Linked DNA regions of Oryctolagus cuniculus. The main gene of each other region encodes a partner of the protein of the gene in region 5 in a complex. Links are inferred from orthologs where the notes say so. Each region holds a gene or a part of one and is shown on either strand. Other genes may lie near its edges.

Region 1 (3,940 bases), on a different chromosome or scaffold from region 5:
GGCCGCCTGCAGGACCGGGCGCGAAGCGGACCTCGGGCGCTGGCCCCTGCAGCCTGGCCTCTGGCCTCACCTGTGCCCACCTCGCTCCACGTGGGAGCAGAGAGACGCCGCCGCCCGCAGGGCGACTCTGCCCGGTACCCAGGTCACCCTGCGCTGCAGGAGTCACAGGTCCCGGTGCCTCCCCTCGCGTCATACACGTCCACGTCACACATATGGTCACACACAGGTCATAAACACACGTCCACATCACACATACACACATACACACACATCACACACAGTCACACACACATACGGTCACACAGGTCATAAACACACATACAGGTCACACATACACACATACACACACGTCACACACATCACACACACATACGGTCACACACAGGTCATAAACACACGTCCACATCACACATACACACATATCACACACAGTCACACACACATACGGTCACACACAGGTCATAAACACACGTCCACGTCACACATACACACATATACACACATCACATGTCACACAAAGTCACACACATCGCACATAGGTCACACACATATGGTCACACACAGGTCATAAACACACGTACAGGTCAAACACAGGTCACACACATATCACACATATACACACCCCACATCACACAGGGTCACACACAGGTCACACATATACCCACACCCTCGTCACACACATATACGTACACGTCACACACATACTTATCACACAGGTTGCACACATACAAGCCCCACACACACCCTCACACACACACACGCCGACACCCCCTCACACACACACACTCACACACAAGCCGCCCCCCCCCACACACCCCATAGTCACCGGGGCTCGCACCCCGCACAGCAGGCCGGGCCGGCCGGGAAGCCCTGGGCTGAGCCCTGTGGGAACGCCTCGTCACAGACGCGCGTGACCCCACGGGACTCTGCGGACGATCCCGCCCCGACGCCGCGGTGGCAGAGCTCATCAGTCCATCGAAGTCTCTAGAATGTCGAGGCGGTCGGCGTCCGGCACCGGGGCCGCGGGAGCCTGGCCCTTTAAGAATCCGGTCCCAGTCCTTCCACGCCCCGCCCCCCGCGGAACCGGCGCGGCTCGCACGCCCTGCCCCTCGCCTCGGCTGCCACGGGCTCGGCCGCCCGTCCGTCACAGAGGCGCGGCCTCTGATTGGCTGCGGCGCTTTGGGCCAGGAGGCGGGGCGGGCCGGCCGGAGAAAGTAGCTGCCGGCGGCGTCTCGGCGGTCCCGCGGCGGTTCGTCCGGCGGAGCGGAGCGGGCCGGGGTCTCGGTGAGTGCCGGGGCCGCCGCCCAGGGGCGTGTTCCTCCCTGGGGCCGGGCGGCGCGCAGGAGCCGGGCGTCCACCGGCGGCCCGCGGGACCCGCACCGGTCAGCCAGGCGGCGCGCGCCGCGGTTCTTTGTGGGGCGAGCGTGGCGCTCCGCGGCGGGCGGGCCGGGGTCGGGGCGCGTCTCCGCGGGTGGGCCGGGGTCGGGGCCCGCCCGCCGCGCCCTGGGTCTGCCCGCACCCCCGCACCGCGCCCGCCCCGGCGGGGCCTCGCCAGCCGCTGCCGTCGGGACCTGTGTCCGGGCCCGGCCGCGGGAGCGGGGACCGGACGCCGGGCCTGCCGGGTTTCGGCGGGAAGTCGCCTTCGGGCCGGCCGCGGACTCGGCACCGGGCCCCTGGCTGGGGGCAGAGGCGGTGTGCGGACCCGGCGGCCCCAGCCCCGCGGACGGAGGGCTCGCCGCTCGTCAGGGGGTCCCGCAGCTGAACGGAAGGAAGGACCCCTCGGCCAGGGCGTCCGAGCCAGCAGCGCGCGGAGCCCCCGGGGTGGGGTGCAGCCGGGGCGCCCTGGCTGCAGAGGCCGAGGCGGTGCTGCCGGGGACCGGTCGGCCGTGCCCGTGCGGGGGCGCAGGGGCGAAGAGAAGACCCTCGGCTCAGCGGAGCGCAGCCCCAGCGCGGGCTCCAGGCTAGCCTCCTCCTGGGGTCCCGGGAGAGCCCACCCCCTGACCCCAGAGGCCCGCCGGAGGGGCTGGCAGAGGCAAATGAGGCGGTCAGTGAGGGGCACCTGTCCAGGTGGAGTTGCTCAGCTGGCACGGGCGCGGGGGCCGGGGAGGGGGCTCACCTGCCCGCACCTGTCCTGTCCCCGGCGGGACGGAAGCCTGCAAAGCTGAGCGTGGTGTGGCCGCTGGGCCTGCGCTCTGCTCCCCGGGGGTTGGGGAAGGGGCTGCCTGCTGCCTTGTGTCTCCGGTCAGCCCCCACCCTCTGGAGCCCGGTGGCCATCCAGGGCTGTGGGCATGCAGGCCCCACAGGGAGCCTCGCCGGCCCCTCCCTTCCCTGTGGCCTTCTTGCTGTCAACAACCCCCCCACCCCGTCTTGGTGCTGGTGGCCGGGTAAAGGGTGGGTACTGTGGCTCATCATCCTCTTGTTAGATTTTTAATGTTTTCATTTAACTTGAAAGAGACAGGAGTAGACATTGAGCGAACCCGGCCGCAGCCAGGAGCCCAGCCCCCATTTGTGTCTTCTCCGTGGGTGGCGAGGACCCAAGTCCCAGAGCTCCACCTGCTGACCACCCCCATCCCCGAGTCGCTCATCAGCAGGAGGCTGCGTGGGCAGTGGAGTAGCTGGGACTCGAGCCAGACCCGGGACGCAAGGTCCCCAGTGGTGACCACAGTCCCGCCCTGGCCGGTGTGTGGAGGTGGCAGCTGTGTGTCCCTGGGACGAGCGCCGTCTCTTCTGCACACACAGGCAACGTGCCGCCCTGGCCAGGCTCGTGCATGCGTCTCTGCAGGCTCCTGGGCTCCCTGGCCTCGGTTTGCTGTTCTGTGCAATGGGTGGATGCCCCTTTGTATGCTGCTGTTGACTTCTTCCAAGCCCCGATGTTCAGCGTGTGGGGCCCCGGTGCCTGCCGGCCCAGCTGGCATTCCCCGGGGGCGGGGTTTGGGTGCAGCACCAGCTCTGCCGTACCCTCCCCTTTCCATACCCTGGCTTCCCTGGGTGTGGGGTCTTTCTCCTGGGGGTGACTCCAGGGGGACAGGCGCTCGTCCCTCAGCCTTCCTGGGTGCCTGCCCAGAGCTGGGGCCCAGGGCTGCGGGCGAGGGCGTGGAGGAGGCGGCATGCGGGTGACTCACTTGCCCAGGGCTGCTCCTGTGCTGGGACCTGGGCAGGGGCGGTGGGAGCGCCGAGGCTCCCCCAGAGCAGACGGTGAGGCCTGGCCCCCGGGAGCCCGGGCGCCCCCCAGAGCAGACGGTGAGGCCTGGCCCCCGGGAGCCCGGGCGCCCCCCAGAGCAGACGGTGAGGCCTGGCCCCCGGGAGCCCGGGCGCCCCCCAGAGCAGACCATGAGGCCTGGCCCCCGGGAGCCCGGGCGCCCCCCAGAGCAGACGGTGAGGCCTGGCCCCCGGGAGCCCGGGCGCCCCCCAGAGCAGACCGTGAGGCCTGGCCCCCGGGAGCCCGGGCGCCCCCCAGAGCAGACCGTGAGGCCTGGCCCCCGGGAGCCCGGGCGCAGAGCCGGGGCTGCCTCCTGGAAGAGCTGGACAGGGAGGCGGAGAGTGAGGGGCGCTGAGTGCCCGCCGCACCTCGCCTCACCCGCAGGACCAGTTGGGCGGCCCTCACCCCCTGGGCCGGGGCGGTGCCCCGCGTGGCGCTTCCTCTGTGCCTCTCGCGCCCCCGGGGAGGCTGACCGCAGATCGGTCCGGGCTGAGGGAATTACTTTCCTAATGACGACAAGAGGAGCTTTCTCGCTGCGACCTCAGGACGAGCGCCTGCGGGGACAGCAGCCGGCTGGCCGGTCTGGCCGCGGATGGAGCGTTCGCTCTTCTAGGAAGCCACGGCCGTTGCCTGAAGCGTCCAGACTCCTGGTGCTGCTGCCCCAGGTGGCCCCTGAGGCCCAGGGCGGCAGGTGCCTCGACCCGTGGGCGCCGGGCACTGGGCTAGACCCTGGGAAGGGGC
Region 2 (4,198 bases), on a different chromosome or scaffold from region 5:
TGCAGGTAAGCAAAAAAAAAAAAAAAAAAAAACCTTAGCCATCTAAAGTAAATGTTATTTTTTCTAGACATATGAACACACAGGCCACTGGCTCATACCCTCAGTAATCTGACTTTTCAGTTAACACGATAGCACGGCCCACCCACCCTTCCCTTTCCGTAAATTTCTCCAGCATTCCTCATGGCTGCACGGTGAGATGCACAGAAGATGTTTAAATGAGCGCCTGTTGCTAGAAATTAAAAAAAAAAAAAAAAGCTGCTGTGTGCTCCGGGCCGGAAGCGGCACTGAGCGAGTGCAGGTGGACGGCTGACCCAGGGGCATTGCAGGCCCGCCGCGAACGTCCACTTCCTGGTGGCTCCCGCTCGTCACAAAGCCTACGCAACTGAGCGATTGGCCGGGCTCCGGGGCAGGAATGCCGGGGCCGCGGCCGCTGGCAGCCGTGAGAGCAGTCCTTCTATGGGCAACGGGCAGCCCGCAGGGCACCTGGAGGCTTGTCCGCTCGGGCGGACCCGACACGCAGCCCGGCGGCACGGTGCGGGGCCCGGCTCGCTGCGGGCGGGGACTGACAGCCGGTTCCCGGGGCGCACGTGGGCGGCGAGCACCCGAGTTTGCACACCCCAGGACTGCTCTGCTCTGACCCTGAGCAAAGCGGCTTCCAAGTGTCCTCCCCCGACACAGGAGGGGAGCCCAGGCTTTCCCTGTCCCCGCTGGGGGCCTCGGCTCCTGGGCCTCCCGCGGAGCCGCCGGCCGGGGCGCCCCGGGGCAGGTCCACTCCTTGGGAGGGCAGCTGCGGAGCCCGCAGGGTCCGGCTCGCGGCTGGGCAGTAACTGGGCGACCCCCGCAACGCCACCGCGGAGCGCGAGTCTGGGGTCCGGCCCCGGGGTCGCTTATGGATGCGCCGAGAAGAAACGTCACCGACACCCCTCAGGCTTGTGCGTGCTTCGGTCCTGAATTGTAGAAGAAAAACAAATTATATATGTATGTATCTCGTTCGAAGTCAGTCCCGTGATGGGGTTCACCAGCAACCCTCGGAACTAAGGAAACAAATCAACCAATAAATAAAGGCCATTGTCCCAGGCGCGAAAGGGGGTGGCTTCGCCCTCGGGGCCCCGCTAGCCTCTCCCGGGTTCCGCGGAGCGGCCGGGTCTGGGCGGGTCGTGGGCAGGCCCGAGTGCGCCCTGGCCACCCGCCGTCCCGCGGGCCCGGGCGCCGGCGGGAGCCGCGGGAAGCCCCGGCAGGAGGGCGGAGCGAGGCGGCGGGGCCGCGGACAGCTGTGACTCAGCCGGCAGAGTCGGGGGCGGGCGCGGCGCCGGGCCCGGCGGGGTTAAGTGGGCGGCGCTGGCCGCGCCCGCCCCGCCCCCGCCGGGCCGCCCTTCCCGGCCGTATTTAGAGCGGCGGCGCCCGGCGGCCGCGGCGTCCTCGGGCTCCCCCCCCGCCAGCGCCAGCGCCAGCGCCATGGAGCGGCCGGCGCCCCTGGCCGTGCTGCCCTTCTCGGACCCCGCGCACGCCCTGAGCCTGCTGCGCGGCCTGAGCCAGCTCCGCGCCGAGCGCAAGTTCCTGGACGTGACCCTGGAGGCGGCGGGCGGCCGCGACTTCCCGGCGCACCGCGCCGTGCTGGCGGCCGCCAGCCCCTACTTCCGCGCCATGTTCGCCGGGCAGCTGCGCGAAAGCCGCGCCGAGCGGGTGCGCCTGCACGGGGTGCCGCCGGACATGCTGCAGCTGCTGCTGGACTTCAGCTACACGGGCCGCGTGGCCGTGAGCGGCGACAACGCCGAGCCGCTGCTGCGCGCCGCCGACCTGCTGCAGTTCCCGGCCGTGAAGGAGGCGTGCGGCGCCTTCCTGCAGCAGCAGCTCGACCTGGCCAACTGCCTGGACATGCAGGACTTCGCCGAGGCCTTCAGCTGCTCGGGCTTGGCCAGCGCGGCGCAGCGCTTCATCCTGCGCCACGTGGGCGAGCTGGGCGCCGAGCAGCTGGAGCGGCTGCCGCTGGCGCGCCTGCTGCGCTACCTGCGGGACGACGGGCTGTGCGTGCCCAAGGAGGAGGCCGCCTACCAGCTGGCGCTGCGCTGGGTGCGCGCCGACCCGCCGCGCCGCGCCGCGCACTGGCCGCAGCTGCTCGAGGCCGTGCGCCTGCCCTTCGTGCGCCGCTTCTACCTGCTGGCGCACGTCGAGGCCGAGCCGCTGGTGGCGCGCTGCCCGCCCTGCCTGCGCCTGCTGCGCGAGGCGCGCGACTTCCAGGCGGCGCGCTACGACCGCCACGACCGCGGGCCCTGCCCCCGCATGCGCCCGCGCCCCTCCACCGGCCTCGCCGAGATCCTGGTGCTCGTGGGCGGCTGCGACCAGGACTGCGACGAGCTGGTCACCGTCGACTGCTACAACCCGCAGACGGGCCAGTGGCGCTACCTGGCCGAGTTCCCCGACCACTTGGGCGGAGGCTACAGCATCGTGGCGCTGGGGAACGACATCTACGTGACGGGTGAGTGGCCTGGGCTGGCGGGGGGTGCGCTCGGGTTCTCGGGCCCCAGGGGAGGCCGCCTCTCTACCTGCAGTGGAGGGGCCGCTCCTGGGCAGCGGTGTGTCTTGGTGACACTTGGAAACCAGAAGAAGGGCCCTGTGTGTGTGTGTGTGTGTGTGTGTGTGTGGAAAGGGGGTGGGGGGGACAGACAAGTAGCTGCTTGTGGTCTGTGTGCCTTGTGCCGCGGGCCTGCCTGGCTGAGCCAGCTCCTCCCTGGCAAGAGCCCCCCCCCCCAACCTTGGTCATTTGGAAGCGGCTGGGGCATTCACCCACACAATGGGTGCTTTCTCTTTTTCCCTCGGGAACCCAGGGACGGGCGGGAGCCAGACGTTCTCCCCCAGCCGGGGCCGTCCCCTCCCCGCTGAGCCAGGGGATCTCCTGACTCACTCGCTGTGCCCTGCCCGGGTGACAAGGCTTGGGACCTCCTGACTCACTCCCCCCATCCGGGTGACAGGGCTCCCTCTGACTCCCACCTGAGCCCTGCGTTGGGGGTCACGTGGTGCTTAGGCCCCGCGAGGCCTGGGACTGTAAACAGGGTCACATGTTGGGAGGTTTTCTTCCAGTTCCTTGGCCCAAACCCCAAAACACTGCCGAGTCATGGTGGGCGGGCCCCAGCCTGCCCGAGCCCTGGGCTTCTCCCACGTTTTTCATTAAGGATAATTCGCGCTCAAACAGGAGGCTACCTCCTTGGAGGGGTGAGGAGGGGCGGTGTCTGGGACTGCTATATAAGGAAAGAACCCAGGCCTTGGTGGCTCTTATCAGGCAGGGAGGCGCGGGGCTGGTTATCACAGTGGCTGTGCCCAGCCTGGCACACTCTGGACAAAGCTTGCTCCCTCCCAGATGTACTGTGGCTTCTCGTTAGGTGACAAGGGGGACGGGAGGGGCCCAGGGACAGCCTCAGCTCCGTGGGCCGCAGCTTCCTTGGCCTGCAAGCTTGTCTGGGACTCGATCCCTCACACACAGAAGTCTGACCAGTGGCTTTGAGCAAGGAACTCCCGCCCCAAACTGGCCGGACTGGCCCCTGCTTCTGCACGCCCTTCCATAAATTGTCACGACTGAGCAGCCGCGGTTTCGGCAGGTGGCTGGGTCATTCCGTGCAGCTGCCCGGAGGGGATTTCGTGGGGGTGAGGAGGCCCGCTGAGGGGGGAGCGTTCCAAGAACTCTTGTCTTCTCCCTTTTTGTTCTGAGCTACGAGACACGGAATGTCTGCCCCACCCTGTGGCACCTGCCCCAGGCCGAGAGGTGCAGCCCCAAGGGTTCCCGGGCTCCCTGTGAGCCCCAGGAGTTCTCATGCTCTTAGTAGGTGCAGTTTAATTGAGGGTGACAGCCAGCACCCCTCGGGGTTCTTTTAGCTTCTTACTGATGTGAATAGAATTCAGAAGCGTAGACATGCCTGGGCGGCTTGCCCAACAAAACACGCCTGGGTGACCTGCACCAAAATCGGGAACCAGCACCGGAACAGCCCTCTCAGCCTCACTTGCCGTGTTCCGAATCCTCCTTCCCTCTGCCGCGCACAAGCTTGGCTAGAATTTGATGGGCAGTGCCTGTGCTCACCCAGACGCTTGGTGTCTCCCCAGCAGGTCTGACCCCGGGGCCCCAGGCCCTGGTCAGGGAGGGAGGCTGTGTCTGTTTACTTGGGATTGTGCCCCAGGAGCTGGCCGGCAGGGGCTCCGCTGTCCCACA
Region 3 (4,191 bases), on a different chromosome or scaffold from region 5:
ACTAACTCATACGGATGTCCATAAACCCGTCTCAGGGAACCAATGAGCTTTTTGTTAATTTGCATGGGTTTGTATTTCTTTGAACTCTAATTTTCTCATACTCAGGTAACAGACTGAATTGTTTTTCAACATTTTCTCTCTTTATCTCAAACCACAACTTAAATTCCAAGATCGTTTATCAAGAGGTTCAACTGTTTGATCTTTTCATTGTTAGAAAGTCATGCACCTGCACTAACTCTATCTCTATTAAGCCCATCCCATTCCCTGATAAGACTTCCTTACACCTCCAAGGTTTAGCATTCCCACAGTTAGCTCCTTTGTACCTGACACTTATCTTGAAAAACATTAAGCATCTATAATGTGCCAAGCACCCTGTGAGATGCCAGAAACACACAACATTTGAATAAACCAAAACATGCCCACAAAAGAATTTCTGCTTTCTTTCTCAAAACTTGTAGTGTACGGTCCAATATAGATTACGATACACACGTCACAGATAAAGGATTTAAGTGCTCAAGAGTTAAAGAGTCTTATCTAAGGTCGCACAAGGAGTAAATAAAGAGCCAGGGTATCAGTGAGGGTCCCCGGGTCCAGGCTCAGCATGGTCTCCAATATTTCTTCCAAGGAAATTCCAGGCGGCTTAGTATCCTAACCTCACCATGGCCCCGGGAGCAAGACCAGGAAGACCTCCTGTAATCCCTCTATCGTGTTTAGGTGCTCCTAAAAGTGGAACAGGTGATGCCCGGAGTGCACAAGAAGCCAGGCACGCGTTAAATCAAGGTCGTGAGCAGCCCTTGTAGCCACACCAGGCTAATCTGGTCACGGAGCACAGGGCCAAGGCGACACTATTTCAGCTGGGTGTCACAGGTGACCCCTTCCAGGCGGCCTGCCTTCGGGCCGCCGGATGTTTTTCTTCAGGGTGGGGTGTCAGATTTCCTTCGCATTTTTGGACCACAGCCCTCCTGCCCATTTCCACATTTTTCTGGTTTCACAGCCCTCACGTAGAGCTCGCCTCTAAAGCGGAAACCTGTCCTCGGCGGAAGTTTAATGAATGAAGATAAAGGCTTAAAAGGGGGCGGGGGGAGGAAAGGCAGGAGATAGGCCTAAAATGGGAAAATTCGCACTCGAAAATCTTTCCCTACCTCAGCCCCACAGAATGACAGCTCTCCCCAGTCAGAAGACTACCTCTCCCGGCAGACACTGCGCGTCCCATGGCCACAGGCTGGCGGGCTCCCAGCTCCCCACCTCCGCCCGAACCAGCCAATAGAAATCCTCGGCTTGGGCCTCCGCCCGACCCGCACCACGCGGGAGCGAGGGCAATAAAACTACATTTCCCGACGTGCAAGCTTCCGCAACGTGGCCAATCCACGCCAGGAATTAGTAGACTGGGGGGCGGAGCCTGAGGCTTAGGCCACCCCATTGGCTAGGCGAAGCTTAGAAGAGCCGGAACCCGGGAGCCCGAGAAGCGAAATGACATTTCCTCTTTAAATAGCTAGAGCCAGGGCCCCATCGAGAAATGGCCGCGTCGGCAGGTGGGTCGCGTGTGGCTAGCGCGGTGTGAAGAGGGTGTTTATGGGGGGGAGGCGAGCCGAAGCTAGGCACAAGGTATGAGTTGAGGTGGTAACAACGAGGAGCCGGAGAGGAGGATGGAGAAGTGGCGGGGGCTCTCGGGAGGGGAGGATGAATGGCGTGGTGGGCAGTGGGCGGTCCGAGCGGACCGGGATGGGGAGGCTGGGTACCCGCCGTTGCTCCGACCTGTTCGGGAGGCGGCCGGGGGAGGGGGGGGGGGACCGGCGGCCGCCATCCTTCGAAATTCGCTCGTGAGGCTCCTGCCGCCGGCTGTCGGCGGCGTCGCCGCAGGCGCCTCGCCGCTGCTGCTGCTTCTGCTGCCGCCGGCGCGTTCCCTCCGCGAGCACGGGGCTGCGGGCTCGCCGGGCTCCGGCAGGAGCCGGCGGGCCTTTGAACTCCGCTGGGCGGCTCGCTGGCTGCGCTCTGGCTCCCAGATCCCTCCCTCGCGGTCTCCTGCGGCGGGGAGTGTGTATCCGTGGGCGAATTTTTGTAGGAGGGGGCGCAAGCAGCCAAGGCAGCACACGCCGACGCCGTCATTGGCTCGAACTTCTTTTGGTTGTATGATTTCTCTCCTAGATTTAAGTAAGCCTTCCCCTACACCGAATGGGATTCCGTCTTCAGACACAGCCAGCGATGCCATGGACCCCTTCCATGCGTGCAGTATTCTTAAGCAACTCAAAACCATGTACGATGAAGGACAGTTGACAGACATTATAGTGGAAGTGGATCACGGGAAAACATTTTCCTGTCATAGGAACGTCCTTGCGGCGATCAGCCCTTACTTCAGGTATGATGACCGTAGAAACTTCCATGACTTCGGCCCCAGGCCCCCGTGCCCCTCAGTGCCGTCCCCTTGGAAAGCAGCCAACGAGAACAGGCAGCAGGCCTTGCAAACCCGTGTTTTTGACTTGAGGGATTCTTCTAGAGTTCAACCAGTCGGTTTGTAAGTTATCGAACCTGTGTTGATGTAAATGAGCAGAAAGTCTGTGGCAGCCCCTGGCCTCACAGAACCATTTACACTTAAATTATTTTAAATTAAATTAAAAAATTAACTCCCTGTGGACGGTAAACACATTTCAAATACTGGGTAGCCCCATGGTGTTAGTAGATGCTATATTGGGAAGAGGAATAGACAACAGTTCCACTTAAAGTATTATGGGACAGTTTTGTTAAACGTTTTATTGGGCAGCGCTGATGAAGAAATTTGTTCCAAAAAGTTAATCATGATGCATATTAGAGTTTAAAACACGGTAGCCTGTTTGTTTGAAAACCAACTCCTGTTGAACAGATTGTTTTAATACTATGGGGCTAAATGGAATGGAATAACAATGAATGAAATATTTCCAGATGTGTTTTTATACTGGGTTTTCATTTATATTAATCTTTGAAAAGTAAAATTTAAAGCTTTTAGGTTTGAAAAGTAACTTCATACTTTAAGATGAAAGTAGTGAAAAAGGCAGTGTCCTACCTGAGTTTTACTCCTTTTGTTTCAAATGCTCACTTTTTTAGGCCTTTTAGTTTTCAAAAGTGGTACCTTAATAACAGTAAGATCATCTTCTCAGCCACTCTGAACGTGCTTTTTCCTTTTGAAGGTACTTACCTTTTATTGGGCACATACTGTAATGTTCCAGGTTGCAGTTTCTGGTTCCTCTTTCTCAGAATACTGGGTTAAATATAGTTACTTCCGACTGATACTTCTGATATAACCATTTAGACTTGCCAGCTTAGGTCATTGGACTACTAAGTATTCATCATTACAAGACAGTGAGCCAGAGGAAAAAAAGTAAAACTTAGGTATACGCAAGCTACAAAGTTTGTCCTGGTAATGGAGACTACTGGTAACGTTCAGTTACCCTGGCTATGTATTAGATAGAGTTAAGTCATTTATGTTTTAAATATGTGTATACTTCAAAAAGTTCGTGGGAAAATGCAATTAAAAGGTAACTTTATTTTAGTGATTTTGAAATGCACTTGTTAGCTATTGTGCATTTTCCATGATCTTTTTGAACACCCTCCTTGAGAGTAGGGGTTACGTGGGCCGCAGGTACTATTTACCAAGCTTTTGTGTGCCTTCAGTAATTTTTATAATCTCAGCTCTGTACAATTGTTAGTCCCATTTTACAGATCAGTAAACTGAGGGCCAGTGAGGTTACCTGACCTATCTGAATCATTTGACTGTTGAATGGCAGAGGCTGGATTTGATTCTAGAATCAGGCTTGTTAGTCACTGTGGGACTCCTGAGGAACTTGAGTGGGTAGAATGGGTCCTTTTTACAGTTGCATTTCAAGAAATGTTATTTATATATTAGAATTGAAAGCAAAAAAGTAAACAAAACTTCAAAGTGAAAATGTTTGTATCTTACTGAAATTTTATACTCTAGATTGTATCATTTAAATCAATTGAATTAAAATTAGTTTTGAAGACAAAGTACTTTAGAAGAAATATGCTACAATAGATTTTCCTAATTTCCAAGAAGTTAAAAAAATAGAAAACTTTAATCATAAGATATGTACATTCAAATGAAGATATTTGGCTAGAAAATGTGAGGATTAAGTTCTTAGCTCTTGCTAGAGATTACTGTACAGAAGTTTTTTGCCACCACTGTTTCTCCTTATGTGGGAT
Region 4 (4,229 bases), on a different chromosome or scaffold from region 5:
CGTCACCCAGTTACTGCCAAGAAAGCAGCCCAAGTCTGGGGAGCTTTGGTTCTTTGAACCGAGGCTGCTGCTTTTCCGTACTCCGACCCACACAACAGCAGCATTACCTGAACGTGCTGGACATACTTGGGCAGGATTTCAGCCACGTATTCCCCGAAAGCTGAGAGTTGCTTGTGGGCCACGTCATTCCGTGGTCTGACAGTGGCTGGAAAGAAAAGAGACAGTCAACAAAGGAACGGAGGGAGCCGCAGCCGGCCTTCCACAGTCTCTCGGGCTTCTAAGGGGCGTCATGTCCCAGCAGAGATCCCTGGAGACCCTCGAGAAAGGTGGGACTGGAAGCCATGAGAACGTGGGGAAATAACATCTCAACCACAGTCCACAGGACTCAGCACTGCAACTGCGATGTTGGCATCTTTCAGAACGCCCACAGCTCTCTGACATAGGGCGCAATCTCAGCTCCCCTGCTAGACCAGGAGCTGAGGACAGGAACCAACACTTTTGCTTTTCCGTATCTCCTTATCCCAGGTTCTCAAGCTAAGAACTTTAGGGCTGAAGAGCCCTCAGAGATGATTTCTTGAAATGGTCAGGGTTTGTTTTGTTTGTATGAGACAAAGGAGACCCAGAAAGGAGGGGATGCCAGGTCTGCCAGCTCCCAGCCTGCTTATCATGTTGACTGCAACACAGGATCTCCCTGCAATGACCTAAATCACTGACAAGCTGCAGAGTGCTGGGTGGGCCCGCTCTGTCACTCACTAGGCCTGTGACCCGGGCAATTTCACTCTCCGGGTCTGCAGTGTGGGGAGTTACTAGCTACATCCTAAAAATGACATGAAGACTACAGAAGATCATTCACTAAAAAGCCGAGTGAGGAGCTCTGACACAGAGGAAACACCGGGAGCTGCTAGCATCCCACGGCTCAGACCCAGAAGTTAGGTTTCCTGCTCTTTCATAAGAGCTGGCAGTTCAGTCAGAGAAACAGGGTCACGGAGGTGGCCAAAGGACAATCAGGCAGTAACAGAAGGGTCTAAGAGCACGGACGCGGCTGGCTTCTGCAGTCAGGTTTCCAAGGACAGGAAGGCATCCGCCAGGGGCACGCGGTGAAGGGCACCCTAGGCAAGGACCCCGGTGAGCAGTCCCCGTCGGCGGGACGGAGAAGAGCGCTGCCCGCACATACTCACGGCGCGTGTCGGCCGCGGCGCTCTCCTTCCTCACCGGCAGCAACAGCACCGAGGGTCGCCCGGTCCCTGCACAGGCAGATAAAAGGCACAGACGCGCGGGGTGAGGCGTGAGGAGCTCAGCGCGCCGGGCGCGCCCCTCCTCTTAAACCCGGCCTCAGCCGATTGCCCCCTGCTCACCCCTGGCCAGCGTGGCGGCCCTCACGAGACCGCGCCACCAGCCCCTAGCCGCCACTGCCGCCATGTTGCCCGGATGTCCACCAACTAGCCCAGGGAAGGTTCGCAGGACACGGAGCCCCAAGGGCACGGACCGGAAGCGGAAGTGTGCAGCAGATCTTCTTCCGGGCGGACTCGAGGCCGGAAGCAGGGGTTCCGGATTCCGGGCACCGGGATGAAAGGAGGGAAGGCAGGTGAGAAAACGCGACGGACAGGTGGGAAAGCCGTGAGGTGGACGTAGCCTTAGCTCAGTGTGACAGAGGCTGGAGAGAAGGTGAGGACGCCGAAGACCTGGGGGGTGAAGGGAGGGAAGGAGCGGGCGTTCTGGGTTCTACGTTCCACACCCCTCCCCCGCTCTCCAGCCTAAGCTTTTGACGAGGGCAGGCGGGACTGAGGGGGAAGAACCGTTTCCCTGGCGACCGTTTCCCTGGCGACACCAGGTGGAGTGGGGACCCTGCACTGGGTGATGGACCTCCTAGTGCCCCGGGCTGGGGGCGGCTGGGCTCTGTCTCGAGTTCCGGGACGGAGCCTTGGGAAGTCATTAGGGCAGGCCGGGAAGTGGGTGGGGGAGAAGCTCAGAACAGCAGGAGTGGGGCTGACGGCTGTCCCGGGCCAAGCCTCAAACTGGAGGGTCTGGGCCCCATGCATAGGGCAAGAGGTGACTTGGCCACAAGGACGTAGATCTTGTTTTGTGTAGTTCTGCTGCCCGAGGATCCCTAGTTTTATGCTCGAGTTGGTTGCTTAGTAAGGCTTTTAAGGTCACCAGCTTTTATGTGTGGTCCTAAATCCTGTCTTTTGTTAACATTATGAAAGGAATATTACGTATTTTCTCAAGGAAGCCCCCAGAGTTGGAGCTTTGGTTGATTTCACTGGGGGAGGGATGCCTTCGCAGGAGAGAGAACCTGGCTTTGGATGCAGGAGAGGGTCAGGGGCATCATCCGCAGGGCCAGGACTGAGGCCAGTGTGGACCCACTTTGCCCTCACCTTTCCCTTCTCCCTGCCTCATTTGGAGAGTTGGATTCACAGACTGTGGCTGTGAATTCCCCCAAGTTACCCGGGGTGGTATTGCTTTGCAGACAGCTGGCAGAGAGAGAAGCTGGCTACCATGGAATCACCAGAGGAGCCCGGAGCGTCCATGGATGAGAACTACTTTGTGAACTACACTTTCAAAGACCGGTCACACTCGGGTCGTGTGGCTCAGGGCATCATGAAACTGTGTCTGGAGGAGGAGCTCTTTGCTGATGTCACCATTTCCGTGGAAGGCCGGGAGTTTCAGCTCCACCGGCTGGTCCTTTCAGCTCAGAGCTGCTTCTTCCGGTCTATGTTTACTTCCAACCTGAAGGAGGCCCACAACCGGGTGATCGTGCTGCAGGATGTCAGCGAGTCTGTGTTCCAGCTCCTGGTTGATTATATCTACCACGGGACTGTGAAACTTCGAGCTGATGAGCTGCAGGAAATCTATGAGGTGTCAGACATGTATCAGCTGACGTCTCTCTTTGAGGAATGTTCTCGGTTCTTGGCCCGCACGGTACAAGTGGGAAACTGCCTTCAGGTGATGTGGCTGGCCGACCGGCACAGCGATCCCGAGCTCTACACTGCAGCCAAGCACTGTGCCAAGACCCACCTGGCCCAGCTGCAGAGCACAGACGAATTTCTCCACTTGCCCCACCATCTGCTCACTGATATTATCTCTGGTAAGTGTAGGCAAGGGCCACCCAGCTTCTTGGCTGTGGTGTTCAGTGTGTGTTTAAATTCAGGAAAAAGAAACCCCGCAGCTTCTCGGTATTAGTTGACATTATTATTCCTGGTAGGAATTTAGATATCTCCTGGGAGGACTTGAGCAGAGATTGAGGGTAGCTGCTGTTGCAGACAGAGTGCCTTATATAAGAGGAAGCCAGGAAAATAAAAGCAGCAGCACTTGACCCACAAACAGTAGTGAGGAGCTGATTTCTTCTGTGACCAACTGTTCTCATCTATCCTGTATTGCACATAGATCTATGGGCCCATTAGTTCAGTAAGCTGATGAGGTAGGATATCTAAAGTAAGACACTTTACTAGTCGGCCCATGTACTTGGGTCTCTGCCACCCATGTGGGAGGCCAGGATGGAGTTCCTGGCTCCTGGCATTGGCCTTGCTCCGACTTGGCTGTTGCAGCTGTTTGGGGGAGTGAACCAGTAGATGGAAGCTCTCTTTCTGTTTTTCCTCTCTGTCACTCTGCCTTTCAAATAAATAAATACATCTTAAAAAAAAAAAAAGCTTTACTAGTGACAGACCAACTTTAGTTAACGATCATACCCTACAAGTAAGATATAACTCTGCTTTAAGTGTGAGCTCTGCAGCCTGATGGGTTGCTTCCTTGGCAAATGGGAGCATACCGTGTCATCATTAAACAACAAAACCGACATGTATTTATTTGAAAGGCAGAGTTGGAGAGAGAGAGGACAGCAAGACCTTCCATGTGCTTGTTCACTCCCCAAATGTTTGCAAAGCCAGGGCTGGGCCAGGCCAAAGCCAGGGAGCTTGGAACTCCACCCAGCTCTCTAATATAGGTAGCAGGGGCCCAAGTACTCGGGCCATCTGCTGCTACTTTCCCAGGTGCATTAGCAGAGAGCTGCTTTGGAAGTAGAGCAGCCAGGACTCGAACCAGTGCTCATGTGAGAAGCCAGTGTCACAAGTGGTGGCTTAATCCACTGTACCACAGTGCTGGCACCACTGTATCATCATTCTGAGCTCAGAAATGGGGCAGGGGTGGGTCTTGTGCTGCTGGTTAAGCTGCTGCTGGGATGCCCACATCTCATCTTGGAGTACCTGGTTCGAATCCCACCTGTATTTCCAACC
Region 5 (3,500 bases):
AAGTTACAGAGGGGGTGAGATAGACAGAAAGGTCTTCAATCCACTGATTCACTCCCCAAATGGCTGCAACAGCTGGAGCTGGGCCAATCCAGACCCAAGAGCCAGGAGCTTCTTCTGGATCTCCATTGTGGGTACAGGGGCCCGATTACTTAAGTGGAGCAGCCGGGACTTGAACCGGCGCCCATATGGGATGCAGATACTCCATGCTGAGGCTTAACTCATTGTGCCACATTGCCAGCCCAAAACAAAAAATATTTGTGATAGTGATGCAGGCATATATTTTGTAGAAGCAGTTATCCATTATACCACTAGTGCATGTGCTTTGTAGCACTGCATCTACAGTTTCATGTTTCCTTTTGTTGGTCCTATATGGAGGTTGTTAGAATGTGAGCTGCCTATTGAAACATGAAAATTTTGTTCAGTGTCATTGAATTTGGGGTAGGATATTAGAAACATCCCATTTATCTGTTCAGATGGTAAAAACTGAGATGGAAGATGTTATAACTTTCTTTAAAATGATATTGAAATAACCTGTTGACATCTTGGGGAAAAAAAAAAAAACTTGAAGGATCCAAACTTTGCACTTCTCAATGATACCATTAAGACTGTGTTCACATGCTAAGAACTCTCCCTTGTTTTTAAGTTAATATGCTGAGCAATAATGAAAGTATTTACCATGACAGCTAAAATTGGGAAAACAATACACAAATAGAACCTCTATGAAAGTCTGTTTTATATACCAGATGTTGGACATTCATTTATATATTTTGATACAACTACTTTGATAAATCTGGTGCCATATCTATGGAATGGGTAACAGATCCTAATTAATTTGTGGGAATTGTCTTTCTGATTTACATAGGTATCCTTAGGTGGTGTTGATCTCACAGTCCGGGTGCTCACAACAGGCTATTGGCCCACTCAGTCGGCTACACCAAAGTGCAACATCCCACCAGCACCAAGACATGCTTTTGAGATATTCAGAAGGTAAACCTAAATCATATGTGCATTTTCAGTCTAAATAATTGTCCAAAAATAAGTGTACTACCTTTATCTTTTTAATATCTAGCAAAGTTGCAGAAGTCTCAACTCCCCCATTACCTTTTCTGTTTCCTCTTTTGTAAAAATTGGAATTGAATTTATTAAATCTTCGGGTTTCCTTTAAGGTTCTCATTAAATTTATATTTAAGAGTTATTATCCTGCAGTTTGTAATTTCACATGTATAAATTGTGTGATTGCAAATACAAATTGTATATAAATTCTCTGCTTCTCTAAAACCTGGTTTGGTTTGCTTAAGGTTCTACTTAGCCAAACACAGTGGTCGACAGCTCACACTCCAGCATCATATGGGTTCTGCAGATCTCAATGCCACTTTTTATGGACCAGTTAAAAAGGTAACTTTGGTTTGAATGTTCTAAGTTACTGAAAATTTGTCCTTAGAGCTTATGATGATTTCTGTTGACTCAGGTACATTTTTAATTCATATTTTCTATCTGTTTCAAATATTAAAAATGTTAAAATACGGGCTTGGATATTTTACTTTTTTACCTCAGTTGTTAACTTTATTTGAAAATATGAAGACTATGCTAGTAGCCTTCCTTAAGGAATAAATAATGCTAGTGTAATTATACATTATATTTTTAAAATTAAACTTGAGACAGTATTGCATAAAATAGGAAAATGAAGTTGATCTGAAAGTATGCAATCCTTATATCTGATCAGCCACAAACCAGAAAATTAGTACTTGAAATTTTTGAAATACGTAAGCATTCATGTCATTAAAAAATTCAGTGATGCATTAATGATATGCCTTCTTAATTAAAGTACTTTGTGTGTTCTATCACTGTCATCGTGGTGAGTACTGTTAAAATAATTTCAAATTTAAATATAGGGAATTGGTGCTCAATTATTTTCTCAGATACATTAAAATATTCACAATGCAAGGAGAAAGGACAATCCTAAATAAAGATTTGTTTTTGTATGTATAGGATTTTCTTTTGATGCAGGAATAAGTAGTGTTAAGGGATAGAAATGACAGGAATTTTCTGAAACATACATTAAAATTATCAGGAGATAATTATATCTTGTTTATATTTTTTGTAAAAAAATTCAAACAGGAAGATGGATCTGAAGTTGGTGTTGGAGGTGCACAAGTAACTGGCTCTAATACACGGAAGCACATTTTACAAGTCTCTACTTTCCAGATGACCATATTAATGCTTTTTAATAATAGAGAAAAATACACATTTGAGGTATGGATTATGCTTATATACATTTTAACCAGTTGTTTTCTTTCTCTCATTGTGGGAGTCTTATTTGAGTAACCCTAAGATAGTTTTTCAGAATATATTTATAGAAAATTGCATAAAACTGGGCCATACGTTTCTTGGGTCATGTTTCTTTTTGTTGGTTTATTTTTTTAAGCAATTCTTTGATGCATAATTTTCATGTAATAGAACATAGCCCCTGAAAGCACATGATTTGATGAGCTTTAAACATGTGTACAATGTAATCAAGAATATTAACTCCCAATCTCTTTGTCTCCCCTCTCTTCTATTCCCCTCCCATCTTTACTATTCAAATAAATAAGTAAATCTTTAAAAAAACAGAAAATAAAAAAGCCAGCAATGTGATGCAGTATGTTAAGCTGCTGCCTTTGACACCAGAATCCCATGTTGGAGTGCCATTTCCAGTCCTGGCTGCTTTACTTCCGGTCCAGCAGTGGATGGATGATGTCCTACATACACTTGGGCCTCTGGCACCCATGTGGGAGACCAGCATTGCATTTTAGGCTCCTTGCTTCAGCGTGTCCCAGCCCTGGCCCTTGCGGTGGCTTAGGGCATAAATCAACAGCTGGAAGATCTCTTTCTTTTTTTGTTTCTCCTTTCTCTTTGTCACTTTACCTTTCAAAAAACAATAAATAAATATTTTTTTAAAGATTTTATTTATTTATTTGACAGAGTTACAGACAGAGAGACAGAAAGGTCTTCTTTCCGTTGGTTCACTCCCCAAATGGCCGCAACGGCCAGAGCTGGCCCGAGCCGAAGCCGGGAGCCAGGTGCTTCTTCCCAGTCTCCCAAGTGGATGCAGGGGCCCAAGCACTTGGGCCATCTTCTGCTATCCCAGGCCACAGCAGAGAGCTGGACTGGAAGAGGAGCATCCGAGACTAGAACCAATGCCCATATGGGATGCCAGTGCCGTAGGCAGAGGATTAGCCTGGTGCACCATGGCACCAGCCCCAATAAATAAATCTTTTAAAAAAAAAATTATTTCCCCCAGGTTTCTTTGTATCTTTTTAACTTTGATTTAATGAATATAAATTTCCAAAGTACAGCTTATGGATTACAATGGCTTCCCCCCACCCCATAACTTCCCTCCCACCCGCAACCCTCCCCTTTCCCTCTCCTTCCCCTCTTCCATTCACATGAATATTCATTTTCAATTCTCTTTATATACAGAAGATCAGTTTAGCATATATTAAGTAAAGATTTCAACAGTT
Region 6 (3,500 bases), on a different chromosome or scaffold from region 5:
AGAGGATCCACTAAACATAGGATGTTGCCACAGAACCTACCTCGTGAACTTTTTTCTTTAGCTCATGAGCTGCACAGTTGCAGTTTTGAGCAGGATGTCTGCAGCCAGTTTTCGTGTTGAAAAACCCTGAAGAACCTGACCAACAGAGGATGACCTAGAAGTGATTCTAAGGCTGTCACAAGATATTCCTTAGTGAAAGTCCGTCTTGGCTCTGAATGTTACAGATAACAGCAAACAGACTTGCTTCTTTATTTCAGAAGTATTCACTTGACCTTCCATCAGTAAGATTGACTTTTCTAATCTGTTTCGAGAGCTATTAATGGAATACAGTCATGTCCACTCAAGACGAGAGGCAGATCAATACTGAATATGCTGTGTCCTTGCTGGAACAGTTGAAGCTGTTTTATGAACAGCAGTTGTTTACTGATATAGTGTTAGTTGTTGAGGGCACTGAATTCCCTTGTCATAAGATGGTTCTTGCAACATGTAGCTCTTATTTCAGGTAAGTACTTTCTTTATTAGTTTGTAAATTATACATATAGAATGTTAGCTTGTTTTAATAGGGATTCTTTTAAATGCTGTTTTACATTTTTTAAAAATCCTATAATGTTTTAGATTTTCTACCTCAGATGATATACTGCTTGCCCAGTCATTGCCTTGCATGTGTAAGTTCGGAACAGAGTAAAGAAGTTTTTACAGAAGTTTAAATATAGAAATTGGTTGACGTTAAGGCAAAGTTTTAAGTTTGAGGGAGCAGAAAATTACAGAATATTGTTCCTTTGAAAGAAAAACAGGGTAATTTACTCAAGATTTTTAAAAAATATTATAATTAGAAAATATTGGTCCTTGTTTAAAAACTGAGGTGTTAAAATAGGCTCAGTAATTTTTGGAGGATAATTGGTGCTGTTGAGACATGTTAAAACTTTTCTTTCTTTTACAAAAATCTAATTCTATTTCTCACTTGTGATTATTGTTACCATTTGAGATAACCATTTAGCCTTACTAGGTGTTTTCTGTTCCTTAGAAAATAGAAGTTGCTTCAGTTATTTGTTAGTCACAAATAAACTTTATACTTTGGTGACCTTTTGTATCTTTAAATTTCATGAGAAGTAGAAGCCAAGACAAAAGACATCGATTGGTTCTGTGCCTTAGGTTGATTTTTACTACTTAATATTTGAAAAGGATAGGATGAATAAGATGAATTAAATGTAGACTAGTATATTTTTACTAGGAATATTCCCCGCCCCCCAGTAAGTAAAGATTGGCAGTGAGTTCATTTCTGCTGTTATTTACTGGCAGTTATACACAGGACCGATTTAATCTGACCACATGAAGATACAGAAGCTTCATACTCTTCAGTGTAACTGCATCCCATGGTGATAGCAGAAGCTAGAGCCCAAGTGCTTACAGTTTTTGTTTTCAGGTTAAAGTGTGGATTGTTGATGCAATTTCAGATTCTGATTTTCTTGTCTGTGTTGGGAAGCTTAGCCTATTTGCAAATAGTAGTTCTAAAACCTGGTTGGTTATTAGAATTTTAGTGCTTTTACAGAGAGTATTGGATTTCAAATTCAGAAATTTTTATTCAGGGGGTCTGGATTATGAAATCAGAATCTTTATTATTTAAAAGCCTCCTAAATGGTGTGATACTGGTTTTTTGTTTTTGATTTGTTTTCAGATTCATTATTTTAGCAAATGGTGTTAGAAATTCAAGTTTACAGGTTCAGTTAATACTTGGGCTCATTAGCTCTCCTCCTTTTCCCCATTTAAGCATTTTTTAATTTGAAAGGCAGAGACAGACAGACATAGACCTCCTATCTCTGCTGGTTCACTTTCCAAATGCCTGCAATAGTAGTGTTGGCTAGGCTGAAGTAAAGAGCTGGTAACTCAGTCCAGGTCTCCCAAGTTACCCAAGTGATTGAGCCTGTTGCTCATGGGTGTGCATTAGTTGGAAGTTAGAATAGGTAGTGGAGCCAGGACTTGAACACAGGCCTTCAGATATGGGATGTGGGTGTCCCAAGTGGTATCTTAACCTCTGGGCCAAATGCTTGCCCCTATGCGCTCCTTTTGTTTGGTTTTTTAGAATTATTTTATTTGATGGCTGGCGCCGTGGCTTACTTGGCTAATCCTTCACCTGTGGCACCGGCACCCCGGGTTCTAGTCCTGTCTGGGGCGCCGAATTCTGTCCCGTTAGCTCCTCTTCCAGTCCAGCTCTCTGCTGTGGCCCAAGGCAGTGGAGGATGGGCCCTGCACCCGCATGGGAGACCAGGAGGAAGCATCCGGCTCCTGGCTTCGGATTGGCGCAGTGCCGGCTGTAGCGGCCATTAGGGGAGTGAATATCGGAAGAAAGACCTTTTTTTCTCTCTCTGTCTCTCTCTCTCACTGTCTAACTCTGCCTGGCAAAAAATAAAAAACAGAATTATTTTATTTGAAAGAGTTACAGGGGTAGAGTGGGGTGGGAGGGTCTTCCATTCCACTGGTTCACTTCCCAAAATAAGCAAAAAAAAAAAAAAAAAAAAAAAAAAATCCAGAGCCAGGAGCCAGGAGCTTCCTCCAGGTCTCCCATGCCGGTCCAGGGGCCCAAGAAGTTGGGCCATCTCGTACTGCTTCCCCAAGCCACAGCAGAGAGCCAGATCAGAAGTGGAGCAGCTGGGACTTGAACGGGGTCCATAGGGGATGCTGGCACCACAGCACTGGCTCTGTACTCTCCTTTTTTAATGGCCATTAATTATTATTTGACTCTCCATTGTTGGAAAGAGCTTTAAACCTTAGTTGTGGGTTTTCCACCTGACATTTGTAATCACAGAGTAGAATCTTTATTGGTAGTAACTTTAGTAGTCACCTGGTCTAACTTTTAAATCTATGCAGAAATTCTGTGTATAATACTTAAATTTTCTGTGTGGTCATCGTCTTTACCAGAAAATAACACATGGGCTATTCTCTAGCCATGAGATTATTTATCTTTAATTGAGTTGTAATTAGTATTCTAGGAAATTTTTTTTTATTTGACAGGTAGAGTTAGAGACAGTGAGAGAGACAGAGAGAAAGGTCTTCCTTCCGTTGGTTCACTCCCCAAATGGCCGCTACAGCTGGAGGTGTGCTGATTGGAAGCCAGGAGCCGGGTGCCTCTTCCCAGTCTCCCATGCAGGTGCAGGGGCCCAAGCACCTGGGCCATCCTCCACTGCCTTCCCCAGCCACAGCAGAGAGCTGGACTGAAAGAGGAGCAACCGGGTCTAGAACCCGGCGCCATATGGGATGCCAGTGCCGCAGGCGGAGGATTAACCAAGTGAGCCACCGCGCTGGCCCCTCCAGGAAATTTGTCTTTAATCAGTATTACAGTCTTACAAACAACACAGTCCTTTAAAGGTTGCCTTTTTTGTTTTTTTTGTTTGTTTCATTTTAGAATCACTAGCCAGGTCTTTCTTCAATTTCCGTGAACCTTTTTTTTTTTTTTTTTTTTGGTAATTTTTTTTATCTTGGTTAGTGGGAGGTTTCTTTTTCTT
Region 7 (3,940 bases), on a different chromosome or scaffold from region 5:
CCCGCCTGTGGCTGCCTTGGCAGAGCCAAACCAAATGCTTTTGCTGGCCGAATGTGGCCTGGGCTGGCTGGAAGTTCCCACCCCTGCGGTAGGTGCTTGAGGGGCTGTGAAGAAAAGCGAGCCGATTCCCTGCCATCATGGACCGACCACAGTGGCACAGAGTGCCAAAACATTGAAGACCCCCACAGAAGACACTCATCCACAGGGGAATAGGCCTACTGGGGTCCATGACTTCACAGAACACAGCAGTTAAAATGAGCAGCTGAGAACTGAAGCTTTAGCCGTGGAGTGGGAGAATCTCAAAGCTACGGAGAGAGAAAGCAGAAAATGCCAGGACAGGTACAAGACAACTTTGTTGACATGAAGTCCAAAAAAACAGCAAAACAATAATATTCAAGATCGCATGCAAGGAGGATATTATGGTATAAAACAGTACAAACACATTTATAGGAACAATAAATGTCAAATGCAGGGTCATGACTATCTCCAGAAAGAAAAAAAAAGTACATAAAACACTGGTAAGGATCTGCTACTCCTTATATTTGCCTGTCAATGTTATGTGTTTAGTAAGAAATCATCAAACATATTTTTAAGTCATAATACATCCATGACTCAAATTCAAGAGGCAGTAAAATGTCCGTTGTAAAACTTACAACTGTCCAGGCTCTGCCCCTCCAGATCCTCTCCCAGAGGAAGCTTCTAGAAGGCATCTATAAAGTCTCAGGCAACTGTTGTAAATCCCAACATCCCTCCCCTACTCCCTTCTTCTTTTCCAGATTTATTCATTTGTTAGAAAGGCAGAGTGATAAGGGCAGAGGGAGAGACAGAGATCTTGCATCCATTGGCTCATTCCCCAAGTGCGAGCTGCAGTAGGAGCTGCGCCAAGGACAAAGCCTGGCGCCAAGAACTCCATCTGGGTCTCCCGTGTGAGTGGGAGCACTGCCTCCCAGGTGCGCTAGCAGGAAGCTGGGTGGGAAGCACAGGACAGACAGGACTCAAACCAGGCACAGTTTAGCCAATGCCAGTTTAACCTGCTGAGCCACAGTGTCAGCCCCCTGTCCTGGTATTCACTAGCTTTTTCATGGAACTTCATATCCCTCCCACCATCCACTGTATAGATAAAGACGTTTTATTTAACCAGTCCTAGAGCGACATCTGGGTTTCCTCCAATTGTTTGCGACTGCAAGCAGTTGTAGGTTAAAAGCCCTTTAGCTGTGCCATCCCACGAAAAGTTTCTAGATAAAAGAAAGCCCCGCCTCGCCCCACCCCATCCCCAGCAGCAAAGCAGGCGAACCGGAGGGAGGCCAATGTCTACCTCACCCACTGTGTGCCTTTCTAATCTGTGCTGATTTGGATGAGAAACAAGCATTTCGGAGTGTAACTGCATTTCTGTAAGGGACACTAGTTCTACCAGGAGAGGATGAAGGGAACAAGGCATATCCTTTCCCACGCCTGCTTTTCGAAGATAAAGTAGAACGTTCTTAGCAACGCGTTCTTTGGCCCGCCGGAGTTACTCCATCCTGAAGCCCTGTCCGCGGATGAAGTGCCCCGCCCCCTCGGGGCCCTTAGCAGCCCGACTCTAACCGACGACGTAAGCAAGGTCTCCCCACTCCGTGCAGTTCAGATTCGGGGGAGGGGGGCCCAAAGAGAGCTTTACGTTCCTTCCAAGCAGGGACAAGCGGAATGTTAGGAACTCAGGCATGAGAGTCGACGGCATTGCAGAGAGAGCCCCTCACCCCAACAGTACCGTCCGTTAACGAAGGCGCCCCCACAAAGAGCAGTGGCTGCACCCCAATGCTTGGCGACACGAGGCAAGAAGTGCAACGCAGGCAAAGGAGACGAGGAAGTGGGTCCTAATTTCCGGGGAGGGGGTGGGGAGGTGGGGCAAAGGCTCCAAAGTGGCGCCGACTCGGACGCGCTCCGAAAAAGCGGACTTGGAGCGTGCGTCCCTGCGCGCCCAAGCCTGGGCCCCGCACGGAGAAGCCCGGGACAGAAGCTGATAGCGCCCCCCCACACGCCCACCCGGGTCGGGTCGGATCGGTTCGGCCCGCCCAGGATCGAAAATAGACCTTGGCGGCTGAGGCTTCCGGGCCGGGCGATTTTTGCACTTTGACAGCGCTATCTCCGGCTTCTTTGAAGAAGCCGGACGACCCGGCCAGGCTGGGCTGCCACGGTGGCGACCCCCGGCCCTGCGACCCTTGCCTTCCCCTCCCCTCCCCTCCCGGGAAGCTCTCAGGCCGAGGTCCGAGGTCACGCCTGGTGGCCGCGGCGGCCTGGCCACGACACACCCGCCTGTTGCAGGACCCGCCGGCGCCAGCGCCGAGGGTCGCCGCCGCCAAGGCCGCACTAGCATCGCCTTGCGGGTGACAGGCGCCGACCCCGGGGCCGAAGAGGCCGGTGGGCCCCGCATCCGCGCCGAGTCCCCCCCGCCCCGAGCCCCAGCCTCGGGGGTCCCTTTCGGGCCGCTCCCCCGCCGCCACGTCAGGGTCCCCGGCTCACCTCAGGCCGCCGCCCCCGCGCATCTGCGGCCCCGCGCCCGCCCCCCTGCACGCTCGCGCGCCTCGCTCAACCCGCGCCCCGCGCCCCGCGCGCCCGCCGCCGCTCGCGCTCCCCTCAGCCCGGCCCGCTCGGCCCGCCCGGTCCACGCCTCACAGCTGACCTGGAGCCGCCGCAAGCCGAGGCCGCACTCGCGGGAGGCGGGGGCGGGGGCGGGGCCAAGGCCGTCACGTGGTGCGCCGCGCAGGCGCAGGGCGCGCCGGCGGGGCAGGGGCACCGGCGGGGTTGGGGAGCAGGGAGCGTGGTGCCCCCGCCGGGGGCGGGCGGAAGGGTGTAGGGGCGCTGCGGCTCGGGGCCGCCCCTCCCAGCGTGGGCAGCTCGGGTGCCGGGCTCAGCCCGCGGAGGGCGGCGACGGCCGGGGTGGCCGTGTGCGTCGCTGCACCTGGCACCTGCGCAGCGGAACGAGTGAATGAATGAATGAGTGAAGAAGTGAACGGACGTCCCAGGGCGAGGCTGCAAACTTCCTCCATTCGGCCCCTGCCGCCTCCTCTCCGTCACGCCCCCTCCTCGCCCCCTGCCTCCCCGAGGTCCCCCGCCCTCTGCTGCATGTCGGAGACAACTTCTGCACGCCTCCCTGGCCGACAGGGGTTCGTTTTCCTGTTTGCTGGAGTTAATCGAACTCCCAGTCCTGAAGCCTGGTTCCAGCCATCCGTGAGGAGGCGCTTAGCAGTCTGGTGTCTTAGCGCCTCCCAGAACCTCCAGGAAGGCTGCCTGGAGGAGGTGACAGATGGCTCCCTGTCCCACCTTCCCCCACTCAACGGAAGAGAACTTAGGGAAGCGAGGGAAGCTTTTGCAGGAAGGGCACGCGTTCAGCAAAGGCGTGGATTTGTGATCCAGCAGAGTGTCTGAGAGGTCATCAGGTTTTGTTTTTTTTTTTTTTTTTTAAGATTTATTTTATTGGGGCCAGCGCTGTGGCGCACTAGGTTAATCCTCCACCTGCGTGCCGCCAGCATCTCATGTGGGCGCCTGCTCCCCTTCCGATCCAGCTCTCTGTAGAAGATGGCCCAAGTCCTTGGGCCCCTGCACCCGCTTGGGAGACCCGGAAGAGGCTTCTGGCTCCTGGCTTCAGATCGGCGCAGCTCCGGCCTTTGCGGCCATCTGGGGAGTGAACCAGCGGATGGAAGACCTCTCTCTGTCTCTCCCTCTCACTGTCTGTAACTCTCCTCTCAAATAAATAAATAAATAAAATAAATCTTTAAAAAATATATTTATTTTGGCTGGCGCTGCAGCTCACTAGGCTAATCCTCCGCCTGCGAGGCCGGCACTCCGGGTTCTAGTCCTGGTCGGGGCGCTGGATTCTGTCCCGGTCGCCCCTCTTCCAGTCCATCTCTCTGCTGTGGCCCGGGAGTGCAGTGGAGGATGGCCCAAGTGCTTGGGCCCTGCA

What was found.
Region 1: CUL3 (region 5) and KLHL25 share a complex: the UniProt entries of both Homo sapiens proteins name them as parts of the BCR(KLHL25) E3 ubiquitin ligase complex. The link is inferred for Oryctolagus cuniculus from reciprocal best matches to the Homo sapiens genes CUL3 and KLHL25.
Region 2: CUL3 (region 5) and KLHL21 share a complex: the UniProt entries of both Homo sapiens proteins name them as parts of the BCR(KLHL21) E3 ubiquitin ligase complex. The link is inferred for Oryctolagus cuniculus from reciprocal best matches to the Homo sapiens genes CUL3 and KLHL21.
Region 3: CUL3 (region 5) and KBTBD8 share a complex: the UniProt entries of both Homo sapiens proteins name them as parts of the BCR(KBTBD8) E3 ubiquitin ligase complex. The link is inferred for Oryctolagus cuniculus from reciprocal best matches to the Homo sapiens genes CUL3 and KBTBD8.
Region 4: CUL3 (region 5) and KBTBD4 share a complex: the UniProt entries of both Homo sapiens proteins name them as parts of the BCR(KBTBD4) E3 ubiquitin ligase complex. The link is inferred for Oryctolagus cuniculus from reciprocal best matches to the Homo sapiens genes CUL3 and KBTBD4.
Region 6: CUL3 (region 5) and KBTBD2 share a complex: the UniProt entries of both Homo sapiens proteins name them as parts of the BCR(KBTBD2) E3 ubiquitin ligase complex. The link is inferred for Oryctolagus cuniculus from reciprocal best matches to the Homo sapiens genes CUL3 and KBTBD2.
Region 7: the proteins of CUL3 (region 5) and KLHL22 are in contact, whole or in part, in a cryo-EM structure (PDB 8K8T), measured with the Homo sapiens proteins. The link is inferred for Oryctolagus cuniculus from reciprocal best matches to the Homo sapiens genes CUL3 and KLHL22. Residues at the interface, in NP_003581.1 of Homo sapiens: Thr14, Arg17, Ile18, Arg19, Ala20, Phe21, Pro22, Met23, Met25, Asn49, Ser50, Gly51, Leu52, Ser53, Phe54, Glu55, Tyr58, Tyr62, Leu66, Met118, Asp121, Ile122, Met124, Tyr125, Arg128, Val129, Gln133; in NP_116164.2 of Homo sapiens: Asp73, Tyr74, Arg76, Gly77, Met78, Gly81, Gly82, Leu83, Lys84, Glu85, Leu92, Ile93, His94, Leu117, Gln121, Val125, Cys128, Gln129, Gln131, Pro133, Trp146, Glu150, Asn151, Asp154, Val155, Arg157, Leu161, Phe162, Asp163, Ser165.

The regions. Positions count from the first base shown.
Region 1 is NC_091443.1:1,880,618-1,884,557, forward strand, and holds the start of KLHL25 (kelch-like protein 25), read left to right. Parts: upstream 1-1,140; 5' UTR 1,141-1,284; intron 1,285-1,520; exon of another isoform or gene 1,521-2,067; intron 2,068-3,940. UniProt on the Homo sapiens protein: Substrate-specific adapter of a BCR (BTB-CUL3-RBX1) E3 ubiquitin ligase complex involved in various processes, such as translation homeostasis and lipid synthesis.
Region 2 is NC_091438.1:160,937,298-160,941,495, forward strand, and holds the start of KLHL21 (kelch-like protein 21), read left to right. Parts: upstream 1-1,398; 5' UTR 1,399-1,455; coding exon 1,456-2,476; intron 2,477-4,198. UniProt on the Homo sapiens protein: Substrate-specific adapter of a BCR (BTB-CUL3-RBX1) E3 ubiquitin-protein ligase complex required for efficient chromosome alignment and cytokinesis.
Region 3 is NC_091441.1:82,545,751-82,549,941, reverse strand, and holds the start of KBTBD8 (kelch repeat and BTB domain-containing protein 8), read left to right. Parts: upstream 1-1,391; 5' UTR 1,392-1,516; coding exon 1,517-1,532; intron 1,533-2,145; coding exon 2,146-2,356; intron 2,357-4,191. UniProt on the Homo sapiens protein: Substrate-specific adapter of a BCR (BTB-CUL3-RBX1) E3 ubiquitin ligase complex that acts as a regulator of neural crest specification.
Region 4 is NC_091432.1:18,411,037-18,415,265, forward strand, and holds the start of KBTBD4 (kelch repeat and BTB domain-containing protein 4), read left to right. Parts: upstream 1-1,429; 5' UTR 1,430-1,566; coding exon 1,567-1,585; exon of another isoform or gene 1,586-1,665; intron 1,666-1,735; exon of another isoform or gene 1,736-1,831; intron 1,832-1,922; exon of another isoform or gene 1,923-2,033; coding exon of another isoform or gene 2,034-2,049; intron 2,050-2,405; exon of another isoform or gene 2,406-2,467; coding exon 2,468-3,085; intron 3,086-4,229. Other genes in the region: NDUFS3 (NADH dehydrogenase [ubiquinone] iron-sulfur protein 3, mitochondrial), read right to left, coding at 108-205, 1,179-1,244, 1,356-1,419. UniProt on the Homo sapiens protein: Substrate-specific adapter of a BCR (BTB-CUL3-RBX1) E3 ubiquitin ligase complex which targets CoREST corepressor complex components RCOR1, KDM1A/LSD1 and HDAC2 for proteasomal degradation.
Region 5 is NC_091434.1:14,728,538-14,732,037, forward strand, and holds part of CUL3 (cullin-3), read left to right. Parts: intron 1-862; coding exon 863-987; intron 988-1,298; coding exon 1,299-1,395; intron 1,396-2,118; coding exon 2,119-2,253; intron 2,254-3,500. UniProt on the Homo sapiens protein: Core component of multiple cullin-RING-based BCR (BTB-CUL3-RBX1) E3 ubiquitin-protein ligase complexes which mediate the ubiquitination and subsequent proteasomal degradation of target proteins.
Region 6 is NC_091447.1:23,651,136-23,654,635, reverse strand, and holds part of KBTBD2 (kelch repeat and BTB domain-containing protein 2), read left to right. Parts: 5' UTR 1-332; coding exon 333-502; intron 503-3,500. UniProt on the Homo sapiens protein: Substrate-specific adapter of a BCR (BTB-CUL3-RBX1) E3 ubiquitin ligase complex that acts as a regulator of the insulin signaling pathway, modulating insulin sensitivity by limiting PIK3R1/p85alpha abundance in adipocytes.
Region 7 is NC_091452.1:29,973,368-29,977,307, reverse strand, and holds the start of KLHL22 (kelch-like protein 22), read right to left. Parts: upstream 2,801-3,940; 5' UTR 2,660-2,800; intron 2,645-2,659; exon of another isoform or gene 2,500-2,644; intron 2,164-2,499; exon of another isoform or gene 1,748-2,163; intron 1,252-1,747; exon of another isoform or gene 654-1,251; intron 1-653. UniProt on the Homo sapiens protein: Substrate-specific adapter of a BCR (BTB-CUL3-RBX1) E3 ubiquitin ligase complex required for chromosome alignment and localization of PLK1 at kinetochores.